Canis lupus familiaris: one gene and its partners. The protein of the gene in region 3 interacts with the protein of the main gene of each other region in a pairwise test. Links are inferred from orthologs where the notes say so. Each region holds a gene or a part of one and is shown on either strand. Other genes may lie near its edges.

The links.
Region 1: the proteins of DACH1 (region 3) and RNF14 interact in binary tests that used the Homo sapiens proteins (3 or more experiments, as listed by UniProt). The two-hybrid records come from large-scale screens. The link is inferred for Canis lupus familiaris from reciprocal best matches to the Homo sapiens genes DACH1 and RNF14.
Region 2: the proteins of DACH1 (region 3) and FGF12 interact in binary tests that used the Homo sapiens proteins (3 or more experiments, as listed by UniProt). The two-hybrid records come from large-scale screens. The link is inferred for Canis lupus familiaris from reciprocal best matches to the Homo sapiens genes DACH1 and FGF12.

The regions. Positions count from the first base shown.
Region 1 is NC_049223.1:36,063,214-36,066,870, reverse strand, and holds part of RNF14 (E3 ubiquitin-protein ligase RNF14), read right to left. Parts: intron 2,076-3,657; exon of another isoform or gene 2,063-2,075; 5' UTR 2,047-2,062; coding exon 1,893-2,046; intron 1,518-1,892; exon of another isoform or gene 1,352-1,517; intron 841-1,351; coding exon 689-840; intron 1-688. UniProt on the Homo sapiens protein: E3 ubiquitin-protein ligase that plays a key role in the RNF14-RNF25 translation quality control pathway, a pathway that takes place when a ribosome has stalled during translation, and which promotes ubiquitination and degradation of translation factors on stalled ribosomes.
Region 2 is NC_049255.1:24,009,350-24,013,006, forward strand, and holds part of FGF12 (fibroblast growth factor 12), read right to left. Parts: intron 1,846-3,657; coding exon 1,727-1,845; 3' UTR 1-1,726. UniProt on the Homo sapiens protein: Involved in nervous system development and function. Involved in the positive regulation of voltage-gated sodium channel activity. Promotes neuronal excitability by elevating the voltage dependence of neuronal sodium channel SCN8A fast inactivation.
Region 3 is NC_049243.1:25,917,951-25,921,607, forward strand, and holds part of DACH1 (dachshund homolog 1), read right to left. Parts: intron 2,567-3,657; coding exon 2,431-2,566; intron 1-2,430. UniProt on the Homo sapiens protein: Transcription factor that is involved in regulation of organogenesis. Seems to be a regulator of SIX1, SIX6 and probably SIX5.

The DNA of each region.
Region 1 (3,657 bases), on a different chromosome or scaffold from region 3:
GTACTTTATATTACCTTCAAGTCATATTTATGTCTCAATCAAGAGCTGAGGCTATTACTATGAAAGGATATGTAAGCCAGAGGAAATGAAGGCTTCATAATACAGGGCTTGTGAAATAGGAAATATAGGAATCCTATGCATTTCTATTTGTGTACATTTACATCTGTGGGAGACCAGTCAACATTTGTTATTAATACACAGATCTCTAAAAATAAAAGTGCTTATTATGTTGACTTAGGAAATGTGTTTATTCTAACTACATCAGCTCAATTTTAGTCCTCCTAATTATAGTTAAATCTTCATTTAAGGAATGGTAAGAAACTAAGGGAAAAAAGTAATACCAACATCTAAGGAAAATTAGGAGGACCTTATAATCTCTATTACAAAGCAGATTAAGTGGAAAAATAGCAAGATAAGGAAAATATATATATATATACTTGATTAAAAATGATTCCTACTGCAATTCATAATGACTAGTCATCCTAATTAATGTCATTCCTTTCTACAACACCAAACACTTTCAATTCATTACCATTAGGATTCATGAAGGCACAGGGAAAAAAAATTACAAAACCAAAGCCATTTGTTCTTCATGCAATGAATTCAAGATCATCAAGATAGTCTTCAATTAAAGATGGTTTTTTAAGTTTCTAAAAACGGATAGGAGAAATTAAGTTTCGGGTCTAACCTGAGTTGGTGACAGCCATTTGCCACTAAGTGTGAATGAAGGTGGGGAGGAGGATGGATAATCTGGTGGCAGTTCAAAGTTCAGCACAAGTGGAGGCAGAAAGCAAATGGTGTATTCAAAGCCACCATTCTGGAGACACTCATTTGAATTGCCTGAACCAAAAACAAAGATTAGAAAGAATCAGCTGGTCAACACTTGAGTGTCCATTACTGTTGAACAGTGCTCAAGAAGGACTAATGCTTTAGTTGAGGGGAGAAGAACCCTCCCCCAAAGCAGTTTCTATTTCCTTATTTTAACTTCATAGCCACCACCTTTAAAAAAAAAAATCGTAAGTCCTTGAAAAATCTATTAAGCACCATGATATTTCTGAAGACACATAACTTATTCTCGTGTATACTTTTGAGTACAATTCCTAACACTAGCTAATAAGTAATAAACAATGTTTTCTTCTGTTGTTTTACAGTAGATGATTACAGACACAATCTAGAGAAAAGGATGTTTATTTCTATTAAAGAGCCATGACCTACTTAGAGCAGCATGTGCCAACTACTCATGAATCATACTTGGGAGAATTTGTGCCAACACAATGATCTCAGGCTTGAGGGCAAGATACAACACACAACATTCTCGTAATCAAAGTTTCATTTAAAAAATCACACTTACTTTCTTTACTCAATGCCTTTATAGTAGAAACATTTTGAGAAAGTGTGCATCAAAGTCTTCTGTGAACGTTTGTATCAAAAGTAGTTTGGTTTTTTTTTTTTTTTTCTGAAGCAAAAGGTCACAGAATAACAGCATATGTCACAGGTTTATGGTAGTTGAAATGATTCTGGAAACCAAACAATATTAACAACCACCACGGGACTTTAAAACTTTCCAAGCATTTTTACATACATTATGTCATTTTCTCTTTTATTATCCCTATTTAACAGCCAATGACTCATAGCTGATAAACTGCTAGTTAGAAAATTAGAATGCATGAAATATGCAGGATAATATCCCAATTCGGTGGTCAAAAGGCGAATCAAATTGAGAACTATTTACTCTCAGTCCAATTTTCAATTAAAACAGAAACATGCCTTAAGTCTGTAGTACTACCATCTATCACTAATGCCTACAAACACAAGATAGTAAGTTTGAGGTACACTAAGAAATTGAGAATAACATTTATAAAAATCTGTTTAAGAGAATATTATTAACTAACCGCTCACAAATATCTTGAAATTTTGTGGCAAATCCAAATAGATCCTGGTTTCTCCACCTTGGACAGACTCTGCTTTTCTAAATTCATCTCCATCATAAATACTCGCCAGGGCCAGCAATTCATCCTCCTGAGCTTCTCGATCTTCTGACGACATTTAATTTTCTGAAGAGCTGAAGATAATCATTGAAATTAGTTAAGAACAGAAAAGGCACAGAGTTTGGACAAGCCTAGTGGCACCAAAAAAAAAAAAAAAAAGAAAGGTAAAGTTCCTTACAAACAACTGCAAAGAATTAATCACTATTTCCATATTTCCACTTTTCTGCTAAACTAGATATGATAGACATATCTAATATTCCAGTAGCATTGCAATAGCAATAACTTTTTCAAAAATGACGGTTGTGGTGCTTCTAACTGCTGCCTTCATCAGTTAAATATCACTGATTTAGAAAAAAAAAAAAAAAAAAAGCATGAATTAGGGCAGCCCAGGTGGCTCAGTGGTTTAGCGCTGCCTGCAGCCCAGGGCCTGATCCTGGAGACCCGGAATCGAGTCCCACGTCAGGCTCCCTGCATGGAGCCTGCTTCTCCCTCTGCCTGTGTCTGCCTCTCTCTTTGTGTGTCTCATGAATAAATAAATAAAATCTTAAAAAAAAATTATAGAAAAAAAAAGCATGATTTAAAAAAACTTTAAGATTTTATTTTTTTATTTGAGAGAGAGAGGGAGAGAGCCAGAGAAAGCACGAGCAGAGGGAAAGGGCAGAGGAAGAAGCACACTCCCCACCTAGCAGGGAGCCCAATATGAGGTTGGATCCCAGGACCCGGGATCATTGACCTGAGCCGAAGGCATATGCTCAACTGACTGAGCCACTCAGGCGCCCTTAAATTTTTTTTTTAAAAAGGACAAATCAGGGCAGCCCCGGTGGTGCAGCGGTTTGGCGCCGCCTGCAGCCTGGGGTGTGATCCTGGAGACCTGGGATCAAGTCCCACATCGGGCTCCCTGTGTGGAGCCTGCTTCTCCCTCTGCCTGTGTCTCTGCCTCTCTCTGTGTCTATGAATAAATAAATAAAATCTTTAAAAAAAAAAAAAAAGGACAAATCATTGGGGTCCCTGGGTGGCATAGTCAGTTAAGCATCAGACTCCCTTGACTTCAGCTCAGGTAGTGATCTCAGAGTTGTGGAATCAAGCCTCGCATCAGGCTCCATGCTCCATGTAGAGTTGGCTTGAGTTTCTCTCTCCCTCTCCTGCTTGTGCGTGCGCTCTCTCAAATAAATGAATAAATCTTAAAAAAAAAAAAGACAAATCACAAATTATTTTGATTTGCCCACCAAATCTAGCTAAGTGCCTTGCTCACAGAAGACTAAAATACATGTGATATCTTCCTAAAAATCAATGAGTTTTTTAAATGTACAGAAACCTCTAGGGCAAGTTTTCTCAACCTCAACACTCTTGACACTCGGGAACAAATAATTCTTTGTGGTGGGAGGCTGTCCTGTGCATTACAGGATGTGTACTAGAATCCCTGGCTTCAACCCACTAGATGCCAACAGCATGCCTCCCCCTCAACATAGCCAAATGTGCTTCCCCAACCAGGGGTGCAGAGAAGGGGTACTGCTCCCAGTTGAGAGCACCCTGTTCTAGAGAACATTTCAGGGGCAGATACTACAGGAGAGGGTTAGATAACTAAGGATGCAGCAAAGAAACGTTAAATTTTTAAAAATACTACCAGAGTCCGTCAAAACAATTCTAAGACTTACCATTATTTTAGGCA
Region 2 (3,657 bases), on a different chromosome or scaffold from region 3:
AGAATGCTTGGTGAAGGACACAAACCACTATTAAAGAATAATGATTGTGTAGAGTGAGGGGAACTACATTGACTTTGAAAGAATACAGCAACCAATGGCAAGGTCATTTAAGTGAAGGCCTAGAGCTTCTGCAGAGTGTATATATTTTAGGGAGTTGTATTTGGAACAATACATGCTGGACAGTAGAGCTATAGGAGAAGTAACATGCTAAGTCTTCTCATTGGTAATATCCATAATTCTGCATACACTTTTTAAAATTCTGTTTTATTTTAATTTGGGTGTCTCTATACCACTCCTGATTTGTAGGACTAAGTACGTCTATTTTTTCCAAGGCAATTGTATAACATTCATTTCTTCCCTGATATTTTTCTAATCCTTTATTATTACTAACTATGCATTTGCCTAGTCCTTACGCTGAGGGTTCTTTTTTTTTTTTTTTTTTTCACACAACGGTATGTTGGAACCATAGCTGTTAATTCTGTATTGTTTCTCTATGCCCCTTGAAAATTCAGTATATTAAGTTCCCTTCTATGTTCTAGGAGTCAGACTTACTGTCAACTAAACTTATTAACAAAGTTATATAACAACAAGCAAGCCACTGGCTTCATGACATGGTAAGTTAGGAATTTCATAGCCATGCCTCCCAATTTCTTGGTGAAGTTTGGAAAATGCTACATACATAAAACTCTGGTAAGGTACAATGGCAAATACAATTTGCTTTAACAATTTCCTAGGACTTATTTCCTTACGTGAAACCCCTTTTTTTTCTTTCCTGCTGCAAGAGATGGTACAAAACTCTCTAACACAGCTGGACATGCACCTGTACTTTCAAAAGTGTGCACAATGTAAAAAAACAGACCACATGATAAGACCATATGACTTATTCATCACCGCCCAGGCATGACAATGATACAGAATTCCCAAAAGTTACCTCAGCCTTAGAACACATTTTTTTTTCCTAAAGGATGAATAAAAATGAGATCCTGGATTAATTCCTTTGATAAAAATATTATAATCTTCTAGGTTAATCTGAAACTCTTTTTATGAAGGAATGAAATCAGCTAATATCATTAAATTCAACAGAACTCTGTCTTTTGCATAAAATAATTATAAGTAACAACTTCAAGAAAAAAATTTTTAAACTTTTAAATGATTCCTGGCTTATATCATACAGGCATTAGAAGAATCTATGATTTGTACATGTTCAATATCATGATTAAAAAAAAAATCCTGGAGACAGGATGTAATTATGTGTCAATTCCAGATGCCCAAAGAAAATTCAAATTCAACACAAAGCACACATCACAGCATTACCCAAAGTTTAAATTATTCAGGGTATTACATTGATTTGTAAGTTCAATTCTCCAAAACCCTTGTCTTTAAGATAGTAACTTTATTTCAAATTTATTATAGTTATTGTCTTCATTATAATTAGCCTCTATTAATAACAGTACAATGTTGTGATGTCTTGATTTATTTTTTCCCTTGATTTTATGTGTGCTAATATTTGTGCATGTGCATTTTCTACCACATTGCAACAGGCAAGCTTTGGTTCAATTTCTTTGTCCTACACAAAGGAAGATTTTTGAGTGCAGAATCTTAGTCACTAGGTCCTGGATTGCCATTTTATTTTCCTCTCCTTGGGTGGATTTAATTGGAAGGAAATAGGTAAAGGGGAGGGAAAAAAGGGAAGGGATGAAAGAGGGATGAAGGGAAGAGTTCTCAGCTATGTTGAATCTTGATTCACGACTTTGCCTCCATTCATGGTTGGTGTTCCAGAACTTTTCCTTGAACGCCCTTGTTTTTCTCCAATTTCATGTAGTGATGGCTCTCTGTACATACACACTGAAAAGCAAAATTACATCAATTACTTATAATTGTAGACATCAATTTGGCCTCAATAAGCATCTCAAGTTTGATTTTACAATATTCTTCACTCTCATTCACTAGCTCTCCTCCCCAGTGTAAAATGACTTTTAACTTGATAACATATTTATTGGATATGTATGGTCCTCTTCCAGTTGTAGCAGTCATAACCTTTTAAGTCTTCTTGAACTGCGGACATAGAGTGATTTCTGTTCTCCTACAGATAAGGCTAGAATCTTACCTGTCTGCTAACCTATATAACAGGATTTTCATCTAGAGTTAGAGGAGACACTGCAAGTATAACATTAAAAGCGTAGGCATAGATACTTTTTAAAGTCCTGAATCTGCAGTCTAGTTTGCATAGGAAAAAAAAACCCTTATTTACATGTTCCTAATCTTTACCCTACTATAAGAAACACAACGCTGTTAGATCAAATTGAAATATTTATCAACAATTTTCAGGGTATCCTACATAAAAAATGACAATAGGAGGGAGGACAGAGGAAAATAAACAAACCAAATATCATTTTCCTGATTGCTCCAGGTTTGAATATGCAACTGTGAGATTTTAGTTCACATTTATATAAAACTGTTCCTCTTTCCTCCATTGTTTTGTCTGGCTCTAAAGCTCAGTCATCTGTGAATTATCATGGCTATTGCTAGATAATTGCACAGAAAGAATAATATTTTTCAACTCATAGTTATTCTTGTAAGATAGGATCTTCGTTCCTTACATTGTTGTGAAATAGACAAATGTGTACAAGCATATGAAATATTTCACTTAAACATCGGGAATTATTTTTATCCTTGATTTAGGAACAAACAGTTAAGTACCTCCATGTATTGAATCATCAATACAGGGCTTTAGTAATCTAAATGCTCTTTCTAATCAAATAGCTTCCTTGCCTGGGCTTTGCCCTGGTACAGGAGACCTGAGCATGGCTATGACCAAATAGATGTCATGTGGTGGTTAAGAGCACCAATCTGGGAGCCACACCACTTGTGTCCCCAACTTCAGTCAGCCACTCACTAGTTCTGTCAACTTAGATACACTGTTGTAGTTAAAAAACTAAATTTTTATGAGAATTAAGTGCCTGGCATATACTAAACATCCAAAGATGTTTAAGAAAATGAAGGAGCTGATCTCTTCATTAGAATTTTGAATAACAGATTTCAGAGAACAAAGTGATAGTTTTGAGGGGTGGCTAAAGATATTCTAAATTAAAAACTAGATTAAGAGAGTTAAGATACAAAAAAATTCTCTTTAGACTAGTTTAGTGATGAGGACACAGGTTTTTTTTTCCCCCTCAATATTTCAGTGGTAGAGCTTCTTCTTCTTCTTCTTTTTTTTTTTAAAGATTTTATTTATTATGAAAGACACACACACACACACACACACACACACACACACACACACACAGAGGCAGAGACACAGGCAGAGGGAGAAGCAGGCTCCATGCAGGGAACCCGATGTGGGACTTGATCCCGGGACTCCGGGATCAGGCCCTGAGCCAAAGGCAGATGTTCAACTGCTGAGCCACCCAGGTGTCCTGCAGTGGAAGAGCTTCTTAAACGTTAATGTGCTTTCAAATCATCCAGGGATATTTTGTTAAAATCCAGAATCTGATACAGAAGGTTTCCGTGGAGTTAAGATTCTACATTTTTAATAAGTTCCCAGGTGATGCTGGTCTTGGCAAATGGAACTACACTTTGGGTAGTACAAAATATGCAAACAAACTATGTTTGGCTAAGTATAATGTGCAAAACTATTGCACACAAATATTTTATTTT
Region 3 (3,657 bases):
GAGTGGAATTGAAGTTTGATGAAAAATATATTTATATAGTCTTAATATATCTCCTCACAAGACTTATTATTATTACTTATCATCTACAAAGGTTTAAAAAGAAAGAATAACTTTACAGTCGAGAAATCTGGTAGTCACCATCTTTACCAAGAGCTAGTTATGACAAGTATTGGAGGAATAGCGTATGTTTCCTGGAATGATGCCCTGAGAAGGACATACTATCATGCCTCTGTGATTCCTGCCAAAGATTCATAATTTAAATCTAATCATGAAATAACAAAAACATCCAATCTGAAGGAAATCCTATAAAATTAGTGACCTATATTCTCAAAAAAAAAAAAAAAAGTCAACATACTGAAAGACAAAAAAATTTAAGAACTGTTCCAGATTAAAAGAGACTAAAAGATTATGACAAATAATTGCAACATGGGATCCTGGATTGACTTTTGGGCCAATAAAAAAAAATTTGCTATTAATAATATTAGAAAAAATACATATAGTGGTAGGAAAGTTGATGAAATATGAAAAAGATTTATAGTTTAGAGAATAGTACTATAATAATCTTAATTTCCTGATTCTGATCATTGTTCTGTGGTTATGTAAGAGAAATTCCTTGTTTTGAGAAAATCAACAATGACATATTTGAGGTAAAGGAGCATGATGTCCATGTCCATGATACAGTCATTGGGGTGACATTATGCCTTTATCAAGGTTACCTCTTTCAGAGACACTGATGATTACGTGAATCTGAGTGATGAATGTGAAATAATTCTTTGTACTATTTTTGAAATGTCTGTGTTGGTCTAATTTTCAAAAAAATATGTTAAAATATGTATCCACATGAACATGTATTTGCATATATGCATATGTGTGTATATGCATTCATGTGTGTGCATGTGTACATACTTCCACTTGGACAATTATGGTAGTCCAAGCATGCAAAAATTTCTTTGTTCTATCAAGAATTAAAAAAAAAGAATACAATGATTAATTTAAAACATGAATGTATGACAAAATTCTTTCAAATTGTTCCCTATCTGCCCATAATTTCCATTTAAGTCTTGTGAAAAAATATTTTTCTTTCTCTAGAAGGACAGTGTCTTTTCAATGATGACATCGTATAAAAGCTTTAAAAATGAAACCAATATGCATCATGAAATTTCTGATTCTAGTGTTAGCATTGTACATAAGCATGGAGAAATTATTTTACATGAAAAATGGTTTGAGGTTGTGGGAGCCAAGATTTGCCAGCCATGGAAAAATGTCATTGGTTTGGAAATAGTTATATTCAGCTTTATTAATACACAGTTATCATCATCTCTTACAAAATTAGGGAAATATGTTTTAGACAGGCCAAATCAAGTATTCATATTTAGAATTATGTTGAACTATAAACTATTTAACTATTAACCATTCTAAAAATAATGGTATTACATACAATTTAACCTAGAATTTCTTATCTATCTCAATAGCATCCATAGAAAGGATTTCTGTTTATACAAATGTTCCTTTATGATTACAAAGTCACTTTCTAGCAAATATTTTCCTATTATAAAAATAATCTCAACAACCAAATAACTTCAGCAGGTTATGTGTAATTAGATGAAGTTTATACTACAAATATGATTTCTTAACATAAACTAAATCCTGGAGAGGATACAATAGAAATTGATTTTGTCAACCAGCACAATCACTGTTAATATGTTCATTGTATTGGAAAAACAATACTAGATTCTTGACACAAAATACAGATACAAAGTAATCAGTTAATTAAATGGCATTTTTAACTTTACTCTTCATTTTCTCGGTTAAATGTTTGAAAATGTGATCATGAAATAAAATAGAGCCCCTATTTTTTAGAATTTAACAATAATAATTTCTGACAATAATATGCATCATTGATTTCCTAATTCAAATCCTAAAATTCAAGCAATTTAAAATTTTTTAATCCATTGATCATCAGAACGACCAAGACTTTTTTCTTAAATGAATTGTTTTGAATTCCATTTCTTTTATTCCTCTTTCTGGTTATGTTTATCAATGCAAAGGTGAATTCTGATAATTGATACATTTCCAAACCTGGCAGGGGGTGGGACTGAGGAATAAAGTTGAGTATCACAGTCACTAGGTAACTGTGAGTTGGAGGTGTTTACTTCAGAAACTAATCGGGAAGGTTACTTTCTCTGTTTCATTGCTCAGACCTTTATGTGTGGCATCAAAGAGAGGGAGTTTATATCAGAACCTGTTAATGTAGCACCATACCTCATGATATTGCAAACTGGGAAACATAATTTTGAGAGATGGCTATTGCTACAGAGCTTCAGAACATGATACATCTGAGATCTATTTGGAATGAGGGCATTTTGATTAGAAAAGCCAGCTGCACCTAATAAAGTTTAGAGCGGTGACAAGTAAAAGTATGAGACCTACGGATTCTGTCAGAAGAGCTCTCGGTCCGGGCCGGGGAGCTGGACACGCTGCTGCTGCGGTGTGATGAAGGGTGGCTGCCAGGCCTCCGGCCCTCCTCCAGAGAGGGGGCAGGCGAAGGGCTGTCTGGGACGCGCTCCTGCGGCACCACGGGAAGCAATTGGGGGAGAAAAGATGTAAATACATGGGAACTGTACTTAATGAATGTTGATTTCCTGCTCATGCAGTACAAAAGAAATGTAAAGGAAATAAATTCATCTTTCATTGGCATTTTCACCTTTTTATCTCCTGCGAAGCTAAAGGAGGGAAAGGCTAGTTAGGACACTGGTTCTATGGGCATGCAGTAACAGCAAATGTCGATTCCCCTCTCTGGATACAAAGAGAGGCCAAGGGAGACAACCCTTTTAGAACCCATTAGACAACAACAAAGTAACAGAACAGGGCAGGTTCCAATTCTAGACGATTATCAACTTAAAGAAATCTCTATGTTCTATTGCTTCAGCTAGTGTCTAAGGATCATTTAACACACAAATTATCAATGTGACCATAATAATAACACTAGAGGGGTTATTAACAGCTTTTTCATCATGGCACTGCTCTGGACACACCTGGATGGTCACATTTTAAGGCATCCTAGAAATCGATTATTATTTCACATTGGAATAATTTTGTTGATTCTAATAATTTGCAGACCACCTGCTTCTCCAAGCTCCAATTCAGCCACATATATGTATTAGGGGAAATTCATGAAATATATATTAGTTGTATCCCAGGGAAACTTGGTATCATGTTTCCTGATACTATTGTTAACACTTAGGTCCCACTCCACATCTCTCCTGCCAAGCCCTGAACCTTCCCCATTAGACTAATGTGCAAATATATCATATAACTGTCTCCAATGAACTTCTATAAATGGAGTTACAGATTAAGAAATAAGATACTCCACTTATTAACATTTTCTTCTTTGAGCAACAAGATATTTATACCTTCAGATATCAAGGCACATAGGCCTCAAAGGACTGTCTTTTCAATAATTAATATTTGAAAGGTTAGAAGTAAACTAAATGATATGGAATAAATCAATAAGTAATTCCTTATTCAGGTGAAAAAATGCAAGTATTAAAAAAGCAGACTTTAAAAACTTTAAAGGAAAAAAGTTCTAAGATCTAATTGACTTGTGGGACATCAATTGACCAGTGAGAATGAAGGTGATACGTATCATTGGTGTCA